Canis lupus familiaris: one gene and its partners. The main gene of each other region encodes a partner of the protein of the gene in region 3 in a complex. Links are inferred from orthologs where the notes say so. Each region holds a gene or a part of one and is shown on either strand. Other genes may lie near its edges. The genes, in order: NEDD4L, NUMB and YWHAH.

The links.
Region 1: the proteins of YWHAH (region 3) and NEDD4L are in contact, whole or in part, in a crystal structure (PDB 7NMZ), measured with the Homo sapiens proteins. The link is inferred for Canis lupus familiaris from reciprocal best matches to the Homo sapiens genes YWHAH and NEDD4L. Residues at the interface, in NP_003396.1 of Homo sapiens: Arg12, Glu15, Asn39, Asn43, Leu44, Ser46, Val47, Lys50, Arg57, Lys125, Arg132, Tyr133, Gly174, Leu177, Asn178, Val181, Tyr184, Glu185, Leu221, Leu225, Asp228, Asn229, Leu232, Trp233; in NP_001138439.1 of Homo sapiens: Pro444, Arg445, Ser446, Leu447, Ser448, Ser449, Pro450, Thr451, Val452, Thr453, Leu454, Ser455.
Region 2: the proteins of YWHAH (region 3) and NUMB are in contact, whole or in part, in a crystal structure (PDB 5YQG), measured with the Mus musculus proteins. The link is inferred for Canis lupus familiaris from reciprocal best matches to the Homo sapiens genes YWHAH and NUMB. Residues at the interface, in NP_035868.1 of Mus musculus: Arg57, Arg132, Tyr133, Leu177, Asn178, Val181, Glu185, Ile222, Leu225, Asn229; in NP_001129547.1 of Mus musculus: Gln274, Gly275, Ser276, Phe277.

What each region holds. Positions count from the first base shown.
Region 1 is NC_049222.1:17,783,983-17,791,797, reverse strand, and holds part of NEDD4L (E3 ubiquitin-protein ligase NEDD4-like), read left to right. Parts: intron 1-3,554; coding exon 3,555-3,686; intron 3,687-4,151; coding exon 4,152-4,271; intron 4,272-5,351; coding exon 5,352-5,549; intron 5,550-7,815. UniProt on the Homo sapiens protein: E3 ubiquitin-protein ligase that mediates the polyubiquitination of lysine and cysteine residues on target proteins and is thereby implicated in the regulation of various signaling pathways including autophagy, innate immunity or DNA repair.
Region 2 is NC_049229.1:46,934,562-46,942,376, reverse strand, and holds part of NUMB (protein numb homolog), read left to right. Parts: intron 1-1,259; coding exon 1,260-1,334; intron 1,335-4,414; coding exon 4,415-4,555; intron 4,556-7,815. UniProt on the Homo sapiens protein: Regulates clathrin-mediated receptor endocytosis. Plays a role in the process of neurogenesis.
Region 3 is NC_049247.1:25,199,939-25,207,753, forward strand, and holds the end of YWHAH (14-3-3 protein eta), read left to right. Parts: intron 1-4,972; coding exon 4,973-5,626; 3' UTR 5,627-6,450; downstream 6,451-7,815. UniProt on the Homo sapiens protein: Adapter protein implicated in the regulation of a large spectrum of both general and specialized signaling pathways. Binds to a large number of partners, usually by recognition of a phosphoserine or phosphothreonine motif.

The DNA of each region.
Region 1 (7,815 bases), on a different chromosome or scaffold from region 3:
GTGACCCATCCAAATGAGGTCCTGTGGCCCTACCACTGCTGTGTTCTGCCTGCCTGTGCCCTCCCCCTCGCCCAACGATGAATTAAAAACATGAGTTTGGTTTTGTTGGTTCTTAAAGACCAGATAGTAGTCATTCCTAAACGCTTTTACCTATTCTCATGCTTCCCATGTACCTGGGGATCTTTCTGCTGCAGTAAGCCAATTTATCCAATGGCTACATCAGAAACCAGACAATTTTGAAAGTATGTTTTCCAGTTCCATCTCTTATCATATTTTCCCCCTCTTTTATACCCTCTCCTGCCCCTGCCCCTACCCCACCCCTGCGTGTCAGCCCCATACTGATGTGTACCGTCTCTTGTCCTGGGGCCACCCTGGAACGTAGCCTCTCACTCCAACGCCTGTGCTTCCACAAACATGCATGGTGTGGACACACCAAAACTGGGATCTCATATACACATCACCTAGCAACCTAGTGTTTTTCACTTGTGGTCCTTCCCCTGGGACCTGTTAATAATTACGTAATACTCGGTGATGGGAATGCACCTCAATTTCTATAATTATCCCCCATCAATGAACATTCAGCTCCACCCCCACCCCCTGGGCACTACACACCATGTTGCGTTAACCATCCTGGTGTACATCTCTTTCCATGGTAGTGCTTTTATTCTTGTAGCATTAATGAACAACCCCTGATTGTCATCTGTGGAACCATGACCCTTTGGTTTAGGAATACATACTGGTTGTATACACACAAATAATACTTTGTATTTGAAAAGTGGTGTCACTTTCCAGCTGGCTAAGCAGAAGCTGTCTCTGAGATAAAAGGAGAGAGAGAGTACAATCCTTCTGGACTTTGCTGTTATATACCTAAAAATACAGAGTTAATGGTATAGTAGGGTTTGAACGAATCTTGGAGAATCTGTAATGGTACCAAACTGATTGTCATCTTTAAAAGCATATTGAAACTTTTACAGTTTGCGCATAATTGATTTATCCATCTTAATGAAATAAATGGAACCACTAGGAAGCTGTAGTTAACTGGCTATTTGGCAGTGCAGAGCACGATAGTATATTTAGATGAAAAGCTGGGAAATTGTTAAATTGAGCTGCCTAGCAGTTTGTCTCTTGATTAATTAACTTGCCTCTTGAGGTCGTATGGAATGCACACGTGAATACACACACACATAGCAGGAGAAATCTGATTTCGGCTCTAGGGCTGGATCTCTTGCACAATCTACCGGGAGAAGCTGAGTCCTGCCTCTTCCCCTGCTGTGTGTGGAGAACAGTGTTAGAGTCACAAATGCAGTTGTTGGCACAAGTTGTTATCCCTGGTCACTTAGAAATCTATAAAGAAATATTTTAATAACACCATATCCCGTAAATGGAACTAGATTGTAGGTTGCCAATTCAATTCTCAATAGAAGGCATAATGAGCGTATTAATCAAAATCCATATTCTCCTCTATACTCTTGGTTCCCAGAAACTGATTAGTCCTATTAACTGGAGCTGTGAGAGGAACCTGGACTGGAGGGTCTGCAGCTTTTGAATCTGATTCTGAGATGAACCATGCACATCATGTTCTTTTAGTTTACGATGTCTCCCCATCAACATCCTTTCCAGGGATTTTGTCACTTTAACCTTATCCTGATGGTTTCCAGAACAGAGCTCTCCGAGCACATATCTGATTTCCATTCCCAAAACCTAACTCAACCGGGAGGAGGAAAACCAACAGATTCCATGTAGCGAGCATTCCACTGAGCCCAAGCAGTTTTAGTTATCAGATAAGCAATAGTAGGTCAAGGATTGATAGCTCATGCTTTGCCAAAAATGCAAACTGACCACTTAGGTTACAGTGTGGGTTCTGACTTAGTTCAGCAGAGTCCAGTTTTTGTAGTGCCTGGATGAAAAGTAGCCTAGAAAGAGCTCTTTGGGATTAGTGCTTCAGCCAGGGAAGGAGGCGGTAAGAGCTTGAGGCTATGGACGAGTTCATCTGTCTTCACTCACGGAAGGATCAGGCCTGCATGTCCAGGTCCGTTCCGCTCCTGTAGTGGCCTCACACCTAGATCCAGAGCCCATAGGGTCTCTCAGTCTTGGAATTCCCATTTCAGGGCCTTCGGGACTTAATCTGGAAAACCATCAAGAAAATAGTTACTGTCGTTTTAGCAGAAAGTCCTCTTACAAATAGTCTTGCAGGGCATGGTGAATGTGTTAGAAATAACCGTTGAGGCAGCTGCTCCGTGGCTCAGTTTCTCTCTGGAACGTGCTATCTAGCTTATGGGGTAGAGTATTGAGCCTCATTAACTGAAGTCCCCAAATTACATGGCAGGATGGTTAAGCGTGCTTTTTCTAGTTCTCGATCCTGCAGGAGACCAGGGGGCGCTCTGTGGCCTCCTTGCCCCAGCACAGTCTTGGTGGTGACTGTCAAAGACAGGGCGCACACAGAGGAGTTGGGCTCAGAGATTGACATCCTCGCCCTGACATCCACCTGGTCAACCACCTGGAGGCTCACAAGATCCTAATTAGGGAAGCCTGTTGCCCCAAAAGAAGTGGCTTCCTTTTGTCACCTCGTGTAAGAGATTATTCCTGAGGTGTGGCCTCTCGCTGCTTTTACATTCTCCCAGGAGCCTTGGTGGCCATAGTTGGCTTGTAATTCTGAGTCCCCGCCCTGAGGGTAGGGGTAGCGCCCTTTTCTCAGTTACAGATCTTATATGCAGCGTCCACATGCCCAGCACTTCTCGGGACAGCACGGACCTCAGACGTCCGTCTCCTTGTCTTCTGAGTCACTGAAACACGCTTGCTGGTCCAGTGTTTCTCCACCCAGACCGCATTTCTCAGACTGCCCCCTACAAGCAAAAGTGTCCCAGGAATCCTTCTGCAATCTAATTTGGACTTTGCAGATCCAGTCGCCCTATACTGAACATGTCTCAAACCCACGAACTGCGTGTTCTTCTGGAATTCTGACCTCACGTTGCCCAGTGGCTTCCCGACTGGGGCCGCTGAGCTGTCCTGGTCGGTCCTCATGACCGTGTGCCCTGGCGCGAATACAGCCGTCCTAGAGAGGAGACTGTATTTTTTTTTTCCTCCCTGAAAGCTGTAGTGGAAGGGCTCTAAGCTGAGGAAGACTTTGGGAGTTAGGAGAGCATCTCTGTGGCAACTCTATTGAGGAAAAAACTATTCAAAGCATCCCTCTCTTGGTGACATTGGACAGTTTAAAATACCTTGAAACTCTCTGTGGCTTGACAGCAAAATCTAGTAACTGAAACAGATTGTACGTTTCTCTTAGGATCATGTTAGCCACGACCCTTTATGTTTAAGACTTCAGGGTTTTACCACTGACTTAGAAGATCTTGGACCTTGTGGCTGTGTGGGGGTCATCTCACAGTAGATTGGAAGCCGTTGGAAATCAATTGCCTTTTTTCCAGACGCTAATGTTTTTGGTACAAGTAAAATTAAGTTACCTGGTCTAGTAACTCTCTGCGTGTACATTACTTTTATTAAACTGATCAAAAAGAAAATGCAGGATATTAAATAATAATGATTTCTTACACAAACAGCCATCAGTGGCCTATGCACACACCACGCCGGGCCTACCTTCAGGCTGGGAAGAAAGAAAAGATGCTAAGGGACGCACATACTATGTCAATCATAACAATCGAACCACAACTTGGACTCGACCTATCATGCAGGTACGCAGATCGTCCTACAACCTAAAATCACAGGCTGTAGAAGCCCAAACGTATGTGAGCTCGGTGCTCCCGAGGTGAATGTATTGTTCTGAAAGAACCCGTGTTTAAGATCATGTTTCTCACAGAGAAGATGGGAACTCTAAGCCTAGTATTTGCCGGAGGAAGAATTCGGTCCTCAAGCCAGTCCACCCCTAGACACGGTTTAGGGAGCCCGTCCCAGGGTGGAGCTTCTCTCCCTTGATTTCTGAGGCTGGCGTTTACGCTGGGCTAGTGATTCATTTCTATTTCCTTTGACTGTACTTCTCGATCGTTGCCCCCATTATTATGTTTAATCATTTTCCTCCACGCTTGAAATAGGCCAGCCCTCTTATTATTGCTGGCTTACGTTGTTTGGGTCCACGCTCCTCATCACTCGCACAGGAGTCCTCCTCCTGCCAAGCTAACTTGTTTTTGCCTCCGAAATAGCTCGCCGAAGACGGTGCGTCCGGATCCGCCACAAACAGTAACAACCACCTAATCGAGCCTCAGATCCGCCGGCCCCGTAGCCTCAGCTCGCCGACCGTAACCTTATCTGCCCCACTGGAGGTGAGAAGGCCTCATCGGCTCACCGGCTCACCCCCTCCCGGGACTTCTCATCTCCTTGCTCATCTTACTTGGGTTTGAGTGGTTGCAGCCCCCTGTCCCCCCCTCCCCTCTCTCTCTGATGGGTCGTGGTGTTGTCGTGCAGCCTTCCTTCATGCTTCTCTGTGCCGCCCGGCTCGCACCCGTGGACTGCCCCCCTCTGATCCCCATTCTCATTCGGCTGCCCCCGCGGCTCCTTGTGCCCGAAGGGGGCGCCCCTCTGCCGGACACTCTCCATCTCTCCTTGTGTTTCGCTCTTGACTTGCACACGAACTCTTGCCGATACCAATGCTTACGTTGCGTTTCCAAACATAGCTGTCGCTTTGATCATTTTTCTTTTCCTTTCGACGGTAGGGCCTGTCACCGTGCGGGCATATGTGTTTCTGATGCACACGCACATCTCGAAGCCATTGCGGGGCATCTGCGGGTGCCTTCTGTTTGTGTGGTGTTGTTGCCATCCCTTCGCATCACAAACGTCAGAGTTAGAGAAGCCAGAGAGCAAGTGTGTGAAGTTCTGAGCTTGACGGTGTCTCAGACCTAGCTGCGGGCCCGTTCCCTGGGTCTGCGATGCTGCTGGCTGGGAGCCGATGGGGTCTGTTCCAAACTGGGATGGGAGTGCCGGGGGGTAGCAACCTGCTGGTCCGGACGGCTGTCTCTGTTGGTACGGGTTTTGCTTTCTGTGCTCTAAAAATTGCCAACCCCTTCTTCATTAGACTGTGAGCTCATTAAGAGCAGGGGCATGTGTTTCTCCACCCTCTGTAAAATTTCCATCCGTAACGTTCAATACAGAACAATACTTGGGGTGCGCACTGAATAGCTGTCCACGGACCTTGGGTATAAGTACTTAATATTGTCATGTGTTTAACCAACCAGAAAACTTTAAAGTTAGATGGGTTGAAAAGTAGATGAATGACAGAAACGGGTTTTAGAGCTTCTCCCTTGTACCTCTTCAGAGAGCAGTGTCCCTGTGTACCCAGGTACATTTTGACCCTCCCCCCGGAATAGCAGCTGGTAAGAGTTCTAATGCTCGTTATTATTCCTTAGGGTGCCAAGGATTCGCCCATACGTCGGGCTGTGAAAGATACCCTTTCCAATCCACAGTCCCCACAGCCATCACCTTACAACTCCCCCAAACCACAACACAAAGTCACACAGAGCTTCCTGCCGCCCGGCTGGGAAATGAGGATAGCGCCCAACGGCCGGCCCTTCTTCATTGACCATAACACAAAGACTACAACGTGGGTAAGGCTGTGCTTTTATTTGGTTCCATTTTCATCATGAGGTCTGGCATTGCTTCCTGGATTTCCTAGTTCTCGGAGAGGAATTTCACTGAGCCGAAGCATGGCCCCAGGGGACCTCCTCGGCCTACATCTGGACTCTGCACATCTGGGCCGGTGGGGGGAGGGTGGCTTCTGGGCGCAGGCTCGTGGCTACCTCTGGGCTTGGTGCCAGGCTGGGTTCCTTTTCTTCGTAGGACCCCTGGAAAGTTCTAGTCCTGACAGTTTACCATATTGGGAAGAAAGGTGTAGTGGCTCCCCAGGGCCAGGAATTCGATGTCCCTGCTTCATTTTCCATGATGCTGTAACTTTGTTAGGGGGTCCTAATATTTTTTTAATCATTTCTCCTCATCAGTTTCTTTTTGCATTTCTATTGACATTATCATCTTTGATTTGTCCTTGTCATCTTCACTGTTCACGTCAGATTCGTGTTTTACACTCCTGTGCTCTGTCTCATTCCTTTAATTATGGGTGGAGAGATGTACTGAGGACTTTGGTTGTACATTTAATAGCTTTTTTGTGTGTGAACATTTTGTCAAAACTGATTTTTCTGATCGTGTTGCTCCTCCATGTGGCGCTGAATCCTATAGGAGAAAGGATCTGTGTTGTATTAGTGAGCACGATGAGAGTAGTCAGAGGTGCATACGCATCTCTCTCCATGTCTGGGTCAGTTCTTCATTCCTCCAGCTAAATTAGTGGTGTCTGTCTTAGCAGAGCGTGCAGTTCTCTTTTAGAAGCCAGTGGTATGTTTCTGCTGTGTGATCTCTAGACTTATGACCAAACCAAACTCGGTATTCTTGTTTCTATTTCTGATGCTATGGGAGGTTTGCTCTTCCTGTCGCTTGTATCCCTGTCTGATTCTCTGGGTACAGAGCTTAACTCTGCCCTTCTGTCATCTGTGCTGCTTGCTCAGAACTGACGGTGTGTGAAAGCTGGTTGAGTCCGGGCAATTGTCCCTGGCCCAGCCATTTGGTCTTGGGCTAGCAGCGAACACATGCTTTGGACTCCCATTTCTAGTGAAGATACCAAGCGTGCACAGTTGACAGAACGGTAGTATTGTGTAAGAAAGAGGCCTGGACCAACGTGGCCTGGACTTGTGTGTTCCTTTAGTCCCTAACGGGCTCACCCTCTGAAATCCAGTGGATGGTGCTACAACATGTCTCCACGATGACATTCTCTGTATTTGGGGCAAGGCTATGCCTTTTATCGCAGGGCATCCAGCATCCTTGGCTCCTGCCACTGAAGGCTGACGGCCACCATTCCTCCCCAGCCCCTCACCACCATAGGGATAACCAAAAATGCCCCCCATGGCCTCACTTATTATTGAGAACCACTCTAAGAGTTCTTCCTCTTCTGAAGTAAGGGGGAATTTATCATTGAGATCCGGCAACACTCATTTAGTAAACTCATAACTACTCCTAAGGCATATACTAACGCATCGCTTTGTTGGATGCGCCTTTTCACCTGAAGATCATATTTACAGGATGGTGGGCAGGGTTAGGCAGAAAGTTAGACAGCCCTTTGGAAAATACAGTAATAAAGATTGGATTTTAGCTCCTTCCCTGCCCCACCCCCCCGAGGACTCAAAGCCTGCGGCGGTCCTGCTGGTGTTGTACTGTTGGCTCTCTAGCCCTCTGCCCGAAATGGGAGCTCCAGAAATAGGGTGAATGTCGGAGGAGATGGATTAGCGTATGGAGCCACTGTGGCTTGCCAGCATAAGCTGCGATTGGAGTCATTTGAACTAGCTTAGCAGTCAGGGCTCCTAACCTTTTCACCATCCTTCACGCCACAAGTGCAGTGTAATTACAGCTGGGCAGGTTTTATTTTAAACAGCACCAGCTTTATTTATTGCCTGCATCGTTGCTGAATGAAACCCAGTTTGAATTTCCAGTTGCCCCTTTCCACCGGGATCCTCGCTGTTGACTCATGGACTCATTTAACATTTGAGTTTGTCAAACCAATATTTTGTTGCTACTGCTGCTGCTGTGGAAAATCCTTAGGGTAACAACTGGAAATTCCACCAGTGACTACCCTTCCTCACTCATCTCAGATGTGCTGGCACAGCTGCGTCACGCCTTCTAGACAAAGGCCTGTGCAGAGGAAGGCGGACTCCAAACCTGCCTGTTTATTTTGATATAAGATGGAGGGAAGCGTAAAGGCAATTTTCAGCTTGGAATCTGTTTGGAGTTGGTTTGGGGTTTGCTCTGTGTTATGTGTGTTTAAGAGAACAG
Region 2 (7,815 bases), on a different chromosome or scaffold from region 3:
CTTCGAATAACCTTCCCGATTCCACAAATAGATGTGACCATGCCTTCTTTCTGACATCATTATACACTGTTTTCAGCTCTACTATAACACTTACTACTGTCTTATTTATTTTTTATCTAAGTGTCACCTTTCAGTGGACTGTCAACTCTTAAGTATTTCTACTGCCTGGCATGTAATAGGCTCTTATCAGATACCTAGTTACGGTGGAGATGATGATGTTCATTTAAATAAGGCCATGCCTTCCATATGGAGGAGCACAGGGCTTAGACACATACAGAGGAGAATGGTAGATATTTCTTTATCCTCTTCTGCCTTTCTCTAGAGGCTGCTGTTCCAATTTTACTACCAGATTCCTTTTGGTTTCTACTTTTTATGATCTGATACCTGTTCTTAGCCTTTATTTTGCCTTCATTTTATTTTGCTTGTATCCTTGGAGCAATTGAAGAGACAGGAAGCTGTTAAATTACCATTACAGAGTCCCACTGTCCAATTTTCATTCCATAACAGGAGAAGTCATATATTAGCTTGTTCCCACATGATTCTTGTGTGCCGAAAGAAGTCTTTTTCAGCCAGTAGAAATAATTCATGTAATAATATTAGTATTTTTTTAATCCTATGTTCCCCAAAATGTCTCCATGCATTTAATATCAAATTAAAAACTAAACTAGCTCTGTGTTAATCCTAAGAGAAGAAATCATGGTCTTTAAAGATTATTAAAGGAATAATGAAGACTTCTTGGGTGTTTAACATGAAAATTTCAGGTGACTAAGGGTTCTGCTATACACATTGGAGTCAAAGGATAGGCCAGCATCTCAATTAGGCCTATGTATTACTTTCTACTGTAAATAAATTTGTAGAAGCTACTTGTGGTGTAACTCCTTATGTATTTAATATTTATCTGACTCTTGGTTTTCTTGGTTAATTTTTTAAAGGGGTGAAGAATCTACTTATGAATGCTTTGCCCTTTGTGGAATGTGATATCTTGGTTTTGAGTCCACCTGTCCCTTCCCTTTTACTTAATTTTATCTTATTGTTTGCATTGTGTTTCTAAAATAATGGCTTTGGCTTGTTTTTTCCTGAATGTTTCTGCAGTTTGGTTTGAGTATCTGGCTTTGGGTACCCCTCCTGAACTTGGACTCCATCTGTACTTGTGACTTTTGGAAGGCAGAAGTCAGTGTTTTCTATAGAAGATGACATTTTTTTTTTAATATTATATATGTGTGTCTCCCCCTTCCTTTTTTTTGCTTTCTCTTTAAAAGACTGGAAAAAAAGCAGTTAAGGCAGTCCTGTGGGTATCAGCAGATGGACTCAGAGTTGTGGATGAAAAAACTAAGGTAAACATTTTATAAGCTTAAATATTACTGCTCATGTTTGTTTGTTTTATCCCTAATGATCAAATATAATGTTGCTAAGCTGCTGTAGTTATTCTGTAGCCTTTCACTTTGTCCAATCTTCTGAGATACTAGTGTTTAGGAAATAAATTTAGTTATTCATTTACCTTATGAAAAATAGAATTCTCTCAACATTTTTATTCTAAATGACAGCATGTTTAGTGTAGTAAGCATTTGCATTTAATGTTAAGATTTTATTCTTACACATTTTAAGAAAATGTTTATCCCCCACAAAGTTGATGTAAAACATGATGGGCCTTTTATAAAGTTAAAAAAACAAAAAACAATATCACATCTGAAATTTCTTTTTGTTCCTTGATAAAGGGAACTATGTTCTTAGAAAGTGGTATTTGAAATTATTAACCTGCTGTTTAACTAAAAACAATTTAAGGGAAATCTTAAGGGCTAGTAAATGGTTCATCTAGTTTTACTTAGAATCTACACAGTGCTCACTTCAGCAGCACATATACTTAGAACCTATACGATATCTCATATCATAGATGGCATTTTGCATTTTAAAGAAAGTTATCCTGTGTGCCTAAAGACAGAGACATAGACTCTGACCTTAGAGAGCATCAAGTGTTATATAAACACATTTAATTAATAATTAAAATTTCCTAAGAGACCTAAAGCCTGGAGAAATCTTAACAAGAAGGCAATTTTTCAAAAAAATTCATATGTCACTGAAAGGAGGAGAGAGTCTGGCAGGTAGGTAAAGAGCAGTTTTGATGGGTAACTTATCTGATAAATTTTAAGTGACTTATTTTATTTTATTATTTTATTTTATTTTATTTTATTTTATTTTATTTTATTTTATTTTTTGTATAAATTTATTTTTTATTGGTGTTCAATTTGCCAACATATAGAATAACACCCAGTGCTCATCCCATTAAGTGCCCCCCTCAGTGTCCGTCACCCAGTCACCCCCCGCCCCCCACCCACCTCCCTTTCTACCCATCCCTGTTCGTTTCCCAGAGTGAGGAGTCTCTCATGTTCTGTCTCCCTTTCTGATATTTCCCACTCATTTTTTCTCCTTTCCCCTTTATTCCCTTTCACTATTTTTTATATTCCCCAAATGTATGAGACCATATAATGTTTGTCCTTCTCTTTTTTTTTTTTTTAATTTTTTTTTAAGATTTTATTATTTATTTATTCATGAGAGACACAGAGAGAGAGAGAGAGAGAGGCAGAGACACAGGCAGAGGGAGAAGCAGGCTCCATGCAGGGAGCCCGATGTGGGACTCGATCCCGGGACTCCAGGATCACATCCTGGGCTGAAGGCGGCGCTAAACCGTTGAGCCACCCAGGCTGCCCCTGTTTGTCCTTCTCGATTGACTTATTTCACTCAGCATAATACCCTGCAGTTCCATCCATGTTGAAACAAATGGTGGGTATTTGTCGTTTCTAATGGCTGAGTAATATTCCATTGTGTACATAGACCACATCTTCTTTATCTATTCATCTTTCGATGGACACCGAAGCTCCTTCCACACTTTGGCTATTGTGGACATTGCTGCTGGAAACATCGGGGTGCAGGTGTCCCGGTGTTTCACTGCATCTGTATCTTTGGGGTAAATCCCCAGCAGTGCAATTGCTGGGTCGTAGGGCAGGTCTATTTTTAACTCTTTGAGGAACCTCCACACAGTTTTCCAGAGAGGCTGCACCAATTCACATTCCCACCATTTTTTTTTTCATTTTAAGTGACTTAATATAGTTGTGTTAGTTCTTTTGACCTTCTATCTAAGGCCCTTTTTTTTTTAAGTTCAAGATGTGGTAGTCTTAAATGTACATCATCATCATCATCATTATTATTATTACTACTACTACTACTATTATTGGAAACAGTGAGCATTTAGCTTGGCGTTAAGAACTTGCATAGTTTTCTTTAGTGTTTTGGATGAAATGTGTTGTACTTGGAGGCTGTTTTGTTTTGTACCAGTTCAAAAGTCATGTTGCCCCCTGGTGGCTACTTATAGCATTGGTACTAATTAGCTTGGTTCTTTCCACATTTTGTGACAATAGTAATTGGTGACTTCTCACCCTTAGGCCCACCATGAATGGAAAAGAAATTTTGCAATGTATATAATCTATAAAGGGCTCATATTTAGAATATATAAAGAACTCCTACATATCAATAAGAAAAATGACAGACAATTCTAAAGACTTGAAGGATCATTTTGCTAAAGAGGAAATTCACAGTAACCAAGATTATGCAAAATAAAATCATAATGAGCCTCCAGAATTGCAAAATTTTAAAAATTAGCTAGTTTGTGGAGCAACAGAAATTCTCATAGTGATGCTTTATAAAAGCCATTTTGTTTGATTGTTTTAGCACTTAAAGTCCCACCTCAGTATCTAGGGATTCTTGGCTGTTGGAATATCACATAAAAGAGTCTCAGAGCCTCAAGACTTTAAAAACCATATTGTGGGAGCACCTGGTGGCTCAGTCAGTTAGGCAGCTACCTTTCAGCTCAGGTCATGACCCCAGGGTTCCCTGCTCAGTGGGTAGTCTGTTTCTCCCTGTCCCTCTGCCCCTCCCCCCCATGCACACGCACATTCTCTCAAATAAATAAAATCCTTAAAATAAATAAATAATGAGAAACATTTTGTGTAATGTTTATACTGTGAATATACATTGCCTTTCAGTAAATATATAAAAAAAGTCACACTCACAATTAAATAATCAGTAAGTTAATATAAGTTACATGGGAATTGGATGAAATATATTGATTTACATATACTATCAAATTGAACATGGAATGTACTATGATAAAAAATAGTAAAAATCAGCAAGCATGTATTTTAGAACATGAAGTAAGAGAGGCATCTAGGCAATGTGCCCCTTGGGATCTCTCCTACATCAGATTCTTAGTATACAGACTACTAGCCTCAGATCTAGTTATTTCATAGTCTCAATGCATTAGTTTTAGAGACTATATTGTGAAGTGAACATCCTGTGTTTATTCTGAGAAATTTGAATAACCTTGTAAATCCTCTATTCCTTTGTGCTTCCCTTTTTCTAGGACCTCATAGTTGACCAGACAATAGAAAAAGTTTCTTTCTGTGCCCCAGATAGGAACTTTGATAGAGCCTTCTCTTACATATGTCGTGATGGCACTACTCGGCGCTGGATCTGTCATTGCTTCATGGCTGTCAAGGACACGGTGAGTCCACAGTGTAGATTTCATCATAACTAACCTCAGCTAGCCAAACTCCCCCTGGGTTGGCTCAGCCAAGCAGTTTCCACTACATTTTTTTTTTTTTTTTTTTACAGCACTTGGAAAGTGCCTAAACGAGCCTGCTTTCATTCCTTTTATTCAGGTAATTCACACTCTTGGTGTGACCCTGCAGCTCAGAGAGCAAGGTGATTAGCTGAGATCCAGGGTCATTAAAAAAAATAAAAGTGCTCTGGTGAGGGTGGCTGCTAAACTTTACTTGAAACTTTTCATTGTTAGAACTATTTTCAAGGGAGGCCTGGGTGGCTCCGTGGTTGGCTTTGCCTTTGGCTCAGGGTGTGATCCTGGAGTCCTGGGATCGAGTCCCACATCGGGCTCCCTGCATGGAGCCTGCTTCTCCCTCTGCCTGTGTCTCTGCCTCTCTCTCTGTGTGTGTCTCTCATGAATAAATAAATAAAATCTTTAAAAAATATGTATTTTCAAGATGCTTATGTATATTTGTTTGCCAATGCATCTGGGTAAAAGATATTGACATTAAAGGTGCTTATAAATATATTTGCAGAGGAATTCTACAAATGAAAGAACTGAGTTGGAATATATTTTTCAGTTAATTGAAAAATAGAAATACTGGAGTGCCTGGCTGGCTGAGTCTGTGGAACATGCAATTCTTGGGGTCATGAATTCAAGCCCCATTTTGGGGGTAGAGATTACTTTAAAAAAAAAAAATTCTAAATTATGGTACAATGAAGTATGCCAGAAATTATTGCATAGTAGAAATTTTTGTTTAGAAATAGGGAACAAGTAGAGGCACCTGGATGGCTCAATTGGTTAAGCATCTGCCTTCAGCTCTGGTCATTATCCTGGGATCAAGCCCTTAGGCTTCCTGTCCGGGGGGGCAGTCTGCTTCTCCCTTTGTTCCTCCCCCAACAGGCTTACTCTCTTAAATAAATAAATCTTTTTTAAAAAAGAGAGAGAATAGTTAACCTATCATCTTTCATGTAAATTACCCAAAATTCTGACATAAAAGACAAGTCTCTCAGATGGTGATGATCTTAACTATAGAAGAACATGAGTGTGTAACTGTAATTACTGAGTTTTTTGAAGTCCAGGTAGAGTAAGGCAGGATAGTCATACCTGAAGGCTACAATAAACTTAAAAACTCTTGCCTGGGTTTATCTGAAAGGGAAGTAGTGGCTATACTCTAAAATTCACCAAAATGTTAATCAAAGCTCTTTGAAGACAGTGGTATAAACTGTTAAGAGTCCAGGACCTGACACAGATCTGGGTTTCAGGCCTGGTTCTGGTTCTTACTAACTGTGTGATTTGGGACAAATTAGTTAACAATCCTTTTTTTTTTTTTTTTTTTTTTAAGATTTTATTTATTTATTCATGAGAGACACAGGCAGAGGGAGAAGCAGGCTCCATGCCGGGAGCCCGATGCAGGACTTGATCCCTTGATCCCAGAACTTCAGAATCACGCCCTGAGCCTGAGTGGAAGGCAGACACTCAACCGCTGAGCCACTCAGGCCACCCAGGTGTCTCTAATTAACATTCTTTAGGCCTTAGTTTCCACTTCCATAAAATGGAGATAATAGTTGTGAAGACTAAATTGGGGACACTTCAGAGTTTTTAAAAAATTCAGGGGGTCTCAGCTGGGGTTTGGGAAGGATCTGTTGTCAAGAACTTCTGCCCTAGGCCTAGGAAAAATAATAAACTTCTTTGGGCGTAGCTCTGTTCTTGTAGTAAAGCTGTACAAATGCAGACAGGTTCTAAAACTTCAGTACTCCCTCCTAGTTCATGCTTCAGTGCCCTACCCTTAATAGCATCCTCCTAAGAAGTCAGAAACTCATGTGGATGAATAAAAATAACTCTGTCAGTTTTTAAACAGGCAGTTATGTGAAATCTTACAGTTTACATTCAAGTGACAAAAGTCATTTCAGACATTACTTCCTATGCTATCTGATATTGGTATATGAAATTCAGGGAAGTTAACTCGCTCAGATCCATATGTAGGAGCAGCTGTCTACATGGTGTGATTTTGAAAATTCCACAAAGGGCTCCCTGTTCTCAAATATCTCTTCTCACTGTTAGTGATGCCAACAGTTACTATACCATCTCTCACTGTTTTTAATTTCACAATTAGGGATAGGGTTTAAAATACAGATAACCCTGGTAAAAATAACCCTTTGAGTTTATTAAATTTACTTCTGGTTATCCAGCGTATCTTTAAAACAATATTTAGTTTCTATAAGCTCTTGTCCCCTCCCACGCACAAACAAATAATTTTTATCGGTTTAATTCCTTTATAAATAGGAGTGTGGGAAAAAAACCTGCTTTAACTTTTCCCCATGTGTGGTTGAGAGGGAATGTTGGGGTAAGAGAGAACTAGAAGATAGGGAGGGGAAAGGGGAAAAGCATCAAAGCGATGAGGGCCTAGAATGGGGAAGGAGCCTTAGGGAGGGGAGCATTTAGAAAAGGGAGACTGAGAAAGCTAAGCTTTCCTTTTTATAATTCCTGTGTCATCTCTGGGGTGTATTTAGTTATCCACAGTTTTAAGTTTGCATCTTTTGTTCCTAGATATGTTAACATTTTTTAGGCTCCTAAAACTTGCCCTGCCTTTCCAGGAGTTTCTTAGAAATGCTTGATACTTATTATCACTGTTCCCCTAAATGGCAAATGCAGGATTTATGTCAAGATTTAGGGCTTCAGGGCAGCCCGGGAGCCCAGGTGGCTCAGCGGTTTAGTGCCGCCTTTGGCCCAGGGTGTGATCCTGGAGTCCTGGGATCGAGTTCCGCATCAGGCTCCCTGCATGGAGCCTTCTTCTCCCTCTGCCTGTGTCTCTGCCTCTCTCTGTGTGTGTCTCTCATGAATAAATAAAATATTTTTTTTAAAAGGTTGGGGGACACCTGGGTGGCTCAATGGTTGAGCACCTGCCTTCGGCTCAGGGCGTGATCCTGGAGTCCCGGAATCAAGTCCCACATCGGGCTCCCTGCATGGAACCTGCTTCTTCTCCCTCTGCCTGTGTCTCTGCCTCTCTCTGTGTGTCATTCATGAATAAATAAATAAAATCTTAAAAAAAAAAAAAAAAAAAAGACTTAGGGCTTCAGACTTTGAGTAGTGTTTTCTAAGCTGATGGCCAGAACTAACATGAGGGATACAGGGAGCCTAACTAATCAGAAGGTCTCAGTGGTTGCTCGTAAAAGCACAGTGCCACTACAGTAAAGTGCCCTAAGCATAACTTAAGAGAA
Region 3 (7,815 bases):
TTGCTTGGCACAAGTTTTAAGTACATTTTATAAGCTGATGAGTCCTAACATTTCATTAGCTGGGTTATTGGTAAGATTCCTCCCAGTATCCAGGTTGGAGCCACCTGTCTTCTACCCCACCCCCCCCGGGTGCTCTTTTTGCTCCTGGCTGCAGTGGCTTTTCCCTCGGGGTCGGGGGTGGTGGCACTTCCCTGCCATCGGAACCTGGCATAGCTTCTGAAGCTTTTGGTGCTGCTGCCTCCAGGGATGGTAGCATGCAGTAATGCCATTCAGATGGCTTGTATTTAATCCCTGCCAATTCCTACAAAAATGTTCAGTTTTGTCAAGAGGAAGAAAAGGCAGTCTCTCCATGATACAAAGGTGGCTCTTTTGACTAATGTTAAGCTTTGAGTGGACATTAACTACCTGAACTCAACTGCTCTAAGCTTGAAGTGTAGCTTCTCTTTGGCTTTCTAGAACTGCACCCTCACCCTGGTGAGGACAGGGAGCAGTCTTTCCAGGCCTGGGCAAGTGGTGACAGATGGGTACTTTACCAGCTTGGGACTAGGCAGTCCTCACTTTGAAGGTAGTAAATTGGGAAGAGTCTGCCAAAACTTTCATCCCCTGCCTCATGTTTTTTTTTTTTTTTTAAATAACAGGACTCTGCCAAAGAAGCTTGAAGATTTTATGCTGTGAATATGTTTACCTAATTGTTCCTGAGAATTATTTTCTCCCATTGTAAACTCTTCTATCAAAAGCAGGCTTGTTGGTAGCAAGTGGGTGTGGGTAAAAGTATAAAAGATGGGCTATAAAGGATGGGAGTGCCCTTCAGAAGTAACATTTACCCTGACTTTAGTGATGCGGCCTGGCAGTCCAGGGGTGGCGTTTTTTGTTTGCTCAGTATTACTTTTGAAGTTGAATGTTTCCCAGATTAAGAACTTTAAGTTTCCCAAATAGTCCCTGTGCTATTTTTGGCAGTGGATCTATTTTTACTCACAAACACATAGTTTATTGCCTGGTGAGTTAGTGGGAGGAGGCCCTTAGGGATTTTTGAGTAAGCGAATGGTGTCATAGGAAGATAGATGAGTTAGTAGCCTATCAGGTTATTTGTAACTTAGTACTGCTGTGTAGTCTCAGAGCAGAGGAAATGGGGTGAAATGAGTACCCACCCCCACCCCCTGGCTGGGAGCTGGTGCAGCCAAAGGCAGCAGTATGGTATGGACATCAGTCAGATGGCTGGCCTGGCCTGGAGTCCAATCTTTTTTTTTTTTTTTTTTTTTTCTGGAGTCCAATCCTTAAAGGAAGTGGAGAGATGGGCCTTTTTAAATGGGGACTGGTCTGGTGACTTAAGGTTTTCAGAGACTGTAAGTGGGATTAAGTGGGGTGGGAGGTGGGCAGGCAAACAGGAAGGCAGAAAGGCTGTGAACAGAAGTGAGAAGCCTGTTAGAGTGGTGCAGCCGCATGAACTTAGTGTCTGGAATGGCTGGCTGCCCTGAGGGTAGCTGATGTGTGGCAGAAATGAGGGTGTGTTGAAACTGGTTGGAGTAGAGAGCAGATTGAGAACCACTGGGCAGGTCTGTCTTGAAAATTCTGTCTTGTTTTTGCTTCATGTTCCCAGTTAGAAACCATTTGGAAACTTGAAATTGTAAAGCTGCACTAAATCATCTCCGTAGACTACCGCATGCAGGTGACCATCCAGCTGCTTTAGTATCCGTGTGGTTGGGACTAGTAGTTTTTGTTTCCTTTCCATTGCACTACATTGCCTCCCAGTGTCTGCTGCTCTTAGTGTGTGTCCAGACTATTCCTTCGCTTTCCTACCTCCAGTATGGAATTGGAAATATTGGGAACTGATGCTGACTAATACTAATAAAGGTTATTTGTCCTAGGTATCACCAATCAAGACTGGCTGCAAATCTTGTTTGTTTTAATAGGCCATCTGATTTCGCCTCAGTCTATACTTTTCCAATCTAGGGAAAGCTCAGTTTCCTTTCGTTATCCAGTCAAGTAATGATCTTCCTCCCATAAGTTTCCCTTTCTTAACTGAGTTGTAACTCAAGAGTATTAAAAGTACTATTTAAACGTATCCAGTTTTTTCCTAGTTAGGGCCTGGCTGGGTTCTAAGAACAATGCTTGCTTAGCTGTTAGTCACACTCAGCTGATGCTGATAGTGATTCATTCAGACTGGCAGGAACCCAGATGATTGTTACATAAACACTAATATTCCTAGTAAATGATTTTTCTTGTGAAGGTGTCATACATATTGCCCAGTAGCCTTTTTGGGTAGTTTATTCCTGATGCAGAAGGGCTGCATGAATTCTTGAAACACAGATACAACTAAATTTCATTTACATTGATAACAACCTCATGCCTTCCCACACCTTTTTATTTTGCTCAGGAAAAATGGAATCCTAGAATATTAGAACTGAAGAGGTCCTTGGAAATCATTTAGGCCATTGGCCCTTAGGTTACTTCTGATCCCCAGACAGCGTCATATAGCTAGTTCAGGCTAAACCCCACAGCTTTCTTAGTTTTGTTTTGTTTTTGTTTTTGCTTTTGTTTTAGTAATGATACTGTCCATTGTACAAACACCCTGTGTGATATGTAAAGATATTTCACATATACACTCAATTTTAAAGATACACTCTGGGGAGTTACGTTGATATTTCTTTGTGACAATCTGATAAGCAGCTTTATTAGCCACAGGGTGAAATCTTAGTGACTCCTTATGGATATCATTTGCACTTTTATGTCAAGTGCCCTTAGATACATTTACTGCAGGATCTAAGAAACTCTTAGTTGTGTGCTTGCCTTCTGTTTTACTGAATATTGTCCTGGAAAAAGTGACTCATTTGAGAGGATTCAACAATCTGAGATTTGTCAGAGGATCAAAGTCGGAATTTTGATTGATAAGGGTTCTTTCTTAAAAGACCAAATTAACAAGTATCTATAAAGTCTCTATATTCCCAGTAAACAAATGGGAGTGTTTGAAGAAACTCCCTGGAGGAGAAAACCAATAGGGTTACAGGTCTTCACCTGGATTTGAAGGGAGCGTGGATTTGGGGTTAGAAGATTACCCAGGACTGGGGCAGATAACCTAGAAAAAGTGAGGGGACCACTCACATCTGTGTGAGGAGGAATGAGGAACCTGGTATGTAGGCAGCCCTCCTGGGGATGGGCAGAGGCAGCCTGTGGCCAAAGACCACCCTGAAGAACAAAGTGGGGTTGGGTTGATTGAGTAGGCAGAGGAGGAAAGACAATCCAGGCTGGGGATTTGCAGCAAAAGAGTAGGGGTGCTGGGGCCAGGGAAATAGGAAAATTAGAAGATAAAATTGGTATTTTTATTGGGGAAGGTGTTGCTGGTAGACAATGAAGAATGTGGCCTTTACACATAATGATTATATTTGTTGCTTATGTTCTTGAATTAATTTTTTTGATCTTTTTTAGAATTTCTGATTCTCCACTGCTCAGTCTTTCAATCCATGTTAAAGCATGTCTGTTTTGATATGCTGTTAATAACTTTCTCCCCTGAACCTGGCTTTTCCCCCTGTCCCTCAATTTCAGGAATTTCTTTTTTCTTTGTTGAGTGTTTTATGGTTTCCTAAGAGTTTTCTTTTTTTTTTCTGAAAATTAAAGACCTTTACCGGTAAGTCATAATTAAGGAATTCCCCTACTTTATAGAGGGCAGTTTAGAAAATTCGTGGCTTTCCTGGACCACAGACCCAGGTTTTTCTGATTCTAGGTCTGTATTAGTTTCCTTGGGCTGCCAAAAAATGTACCACACGCTGGGTAGCTTATTTTTTTTTTTTTTTAAGATTTATTTATTTATTTATTCAGAGAGAGAGAGGCAGTGACACAGGCAGAGGGAGAAGCAGGCTCCATGCAGGGAGCCCAATGTGGGACTCGATCCTGGGTCCCCAGGATCACACCCCTGGGCTGCAGGTGGCGCTAAACCGCTGCGCCACCGGGTCTGCCCGCTGGGTAGCTTAAAACAGCAAATTATGCTGTTGCATTTGGGAAGGTTAGAAGTCCAAGATCAAGGTGTCAGCAGGCTGTACTCCTGAAGGCATTAGGGAAGAACCTTTGCCTCTCTCTTAGCTTTTGGTGGCTCTTGATAATCCTTGGTGTTTCTTGGCTGATAGACACATCACTCCAATCTCTGCCTCCATCATCACATGGCATTCTCCCTATGTTTGTGTGTCTCCAAATCTCCCACTCCTTATAAGGGCGCCAGTCACTGGATTTAGGATCTAGCCTAATACAGGATGACCTCATCTTGACTTGATTACATCTGTAGAGGTCCTGTCCCCAATAAGGTCACATTCACAGGTCCAAGGGTTAGTACTTCAGTGTAACATTGGGAGACACAATTCAACAACACAACAAAGTCCAGCGCCCTTAGTATTACATACATAGCTGGCTTGCTTGGAGTTGGCATCATGAACTACCTAAAGAAAGTTACAGCTTGTAAAATTTAACATTTCTCCTTAACATAATTGATGCTTCCATCCTTGATGGCCGGTCAGGGTTTCCTGTTAGGTAGGTCAAAGTAGAGCTTATAGCTGAGGAACTTTGCTTCCTTTGAGCAGCGGCTAGGGACACGTTACTGTCACTAATGATTTGGCAAATGAATTGTACGATCTTAACTCTTGATATAATACCTTTTGCAGAATAACTGAACCTCAGGGGTTTTTCATCCCCCACTAGGTACCACCACAATTTTTCCATAATTGTCTTTATCCCCAAACCTCTGCAAGATGAAGGCAACACCTTAAAAGACCTGAATTATGAATTTCTCAAATCCCTTATCACTGAATATTTTATTTCAAGTATTTATTCTTCTTTTTAGACTACAGTCTTCTTTCAGACAGGATCTATGTCTGACTGGTTTGTCTCTAGCTTGTCTGTGCTGGTTGCTGATGAGGTTCAAAGGAACCTCATCTTTCTAAGATTTTTGGATTTGAATCTTAGTGTTTATCTTTTGGGGATTTTGCAGGTGACAGAGCTCAATGAACCTCTTTCCAATGAAGATCGAAACCTCCTCTCTGTGGCCTACAAGAATGTGGTTGGTGCCAGGCGATCTTCCTGGAGGGTCATCAGCAGCATTGAGCAGAAAACCATGGCTGATGGAAACGAAAAGAAATTGGAGAAAGTTAAAGCTTACCGGGAGAAGATTGAGAAGGAGCTGGAAACAGTGTGCAATGATGTCCTGGCTCTGCTTGACAAGTTCCTCATCAAGAACTGCAATGATTTCCAGTATGAGAGCAAGGTATTTTATCTGAAAATGAAAGGCGATTACTACCGCTACTTGGCAGAGGTAGCTTCCGGGGAGAAGAAAAACAGTGTGGTCGAAGCTTCTGAGGCTGCCTACAAAGAAGCCTTTGAAATCAGCAAAGAGCACATGCAGCCAACGCACCCCATCCGGCTGGGTCTGGCCCTCAATTTCTCCGTGTTCTACTATGAGATCCAGAATGCACCCGAGCAGGCCTGCCTCTTAGCCAAACAAGCCTTCGATGATGCCATAGCTGAGCTGGACACACTAAACGAAGATTCCTATAAGGACTCCACGCTCATCATGCAGTTGCTGCGAGACAACCTCACCCTCTGGACGAGCGACCAGCAGGATGAAGAAGCAGGAGAAGGCAACTGAAGAGTCTTCGGGTCTTAGGCCCTTCCCTTCACCCACCACCCCCCATCATCACTGATTCTTCCTTGCCACAATCACTAAATATCTAGTGCTAAACCTATCTGTATTGGCAGCACAGCTACTCAGAGCTGCTCTCCTGCCCTTTGGGAAGCAGTTTCAGATAAATCTTCATGGGCATTGCTGGATTGATGGTTGCTTTAAGCCCACAGGGGCTCCCTTTTTCCGAATTGTGCAGACAAGTGCGTTCTGAATGAGGCATTCTACTATGCCTGTTGATCTATGTGAAATCCAAGCAAAAGCAATGGGGAAGTTTAGAAAGGAGAGTTAGCCAACATAGGCTACAGTTGATATTTAAATGATCCATTTAAAACAAGCTGATAGTGTTTTGTTAAGCAGTACATCTTGTGCATGCAAAAAATGAATTCACCCCTCCCACCTCTTTCTTCAGCTAATGGAAAACTGTTAAGGGAAGCTGATTAAAAAGAGACCACTTGCTCCTTTCCATCAACTTTATAAGAAACTGTTTAACGTGAGGTTTCAGTAGCGCCTTGTTTTGCCTCTTTAAATTATGATGTGCACAAACCTTCTTTTTCAATGCAATGCATCTAAAGTTTTGATACCTGTAACTTTTTTTTTTTTTTTTTTGGTTGCGATTGTTTAAGAATCATGGATTTATTTTTTGTAACTCTTTGGCTATTGTCCTTGTGTATCCTGACAGCGCCATGTGTGTCAGCCCACGTCAATCAAGATGGGTGATTATGAAATGCCAGACTTCTAAATTAAATGTTTTGGAATTCAGTGGGTAAATAAATGCTGCTTTGGGGATATTCTGTCTATGTGTGGTTTTCATTTCCCCCCCTCTCAAGGAGCTCTCTTACCAGGTTACCATTTTGAATCCTGGTTTTAGTTTCAAGCACCGAAGCATTTTTAGCACAGTAGGTTTTCCTGCTCTCTGATTCCAATACACATTTTGCAGTATACACATAAGACTCATGAGTTTTCAGTTTTCTGTGAAACCATTCCACATGGCCTCTCATCCACTCTTCCTGATAACTGGTGCTTCTAGTATGGAAGCTGAACAGACCAAAATGCTCAGTCTTCCTCTGTACAGCACCTGATCTGGTGAAAGGCCAAACCTTTGTTTAACTTGGGAAGGTGTAGCTTGACCCACCCTACTGAAATGTTGGTTGATATTTAACACTCAAGGTAGATACCGTGTCATACATGTCCTCATTTTCTTCATACCCTTTATTAGATATAATAAAATGGGTTCCTGAAATAAGGTTTAGTTAAAAAAAAAAAAACTTTGAGTATTCTTTAAAGTAGAAGAACTTCCATCTGCACTTAAAAAAGGAAAAGGCTAGACACCTTAAATTCTCTCCCATCTGTCTACCCCAAGTCTTCTCTTTTTTTTTTTTTTAAACTTTTATTTATTTATGATAGTCACACAGAGAGAGAGAGAGGCAGAGACACAGGCAGAGGGAGAAGCAGGCTCCATGCCCCAGGAGCCCGATGTGGGATTCAATCCCGGGTCTCCAGGATCGCGCCCTGGGCTGAAGGCAGGCGCTAAACCGCTGTGCCACCTAGGGATCCAAGGCTTCTCTTGAGGCTTAGCATCCCTAGCTAGACTTCATTCTCTGGTGATAGGGGCTCGAACCCCTCGAATCCCTCGCAGTTCTGCAACTTGGTGCCCAGAACCAAACGTGCTTGTTAAGTGGATTGGTTCAATTTCACAAAGGTGTTAAGATACCTTTCTTAATCTTGACTAAAGCTTGACACTGGATTGGTGAGAATGGCCATGATCCAGTCTCTGTCCTTGAGCTTCGATTGTGGTGGAGCACAGACCTTCTAAGCCTTAGAAGTTTACCCTGTATGCTTATCCTGAAGTAGAGGTATGACCCATGTGCTCCTAACATACTAGAAAGCCTGTTTCAGGTTGTCCTAATTGCTAAAGTGGTTATTGAGTTTCACTTTAGTTAGTAGGTCAGGGTTTTTTTGTTTTTGTTTTTAAGATTTTACTTATTCATGAGAGGCAGAGACACAGGCAGAGGGATAAGCAGGCCACAAGCAGGGAGCCCAATGTGGGACTCCATCCCAGGTCTCCAGGATCACACCCTGGGCTGAAGGCGGCGCTAAACTGCTGAGGGCCACCCCCACCCCCACCCCGGGCTGCCCAAGGTCAGTTATTTTAA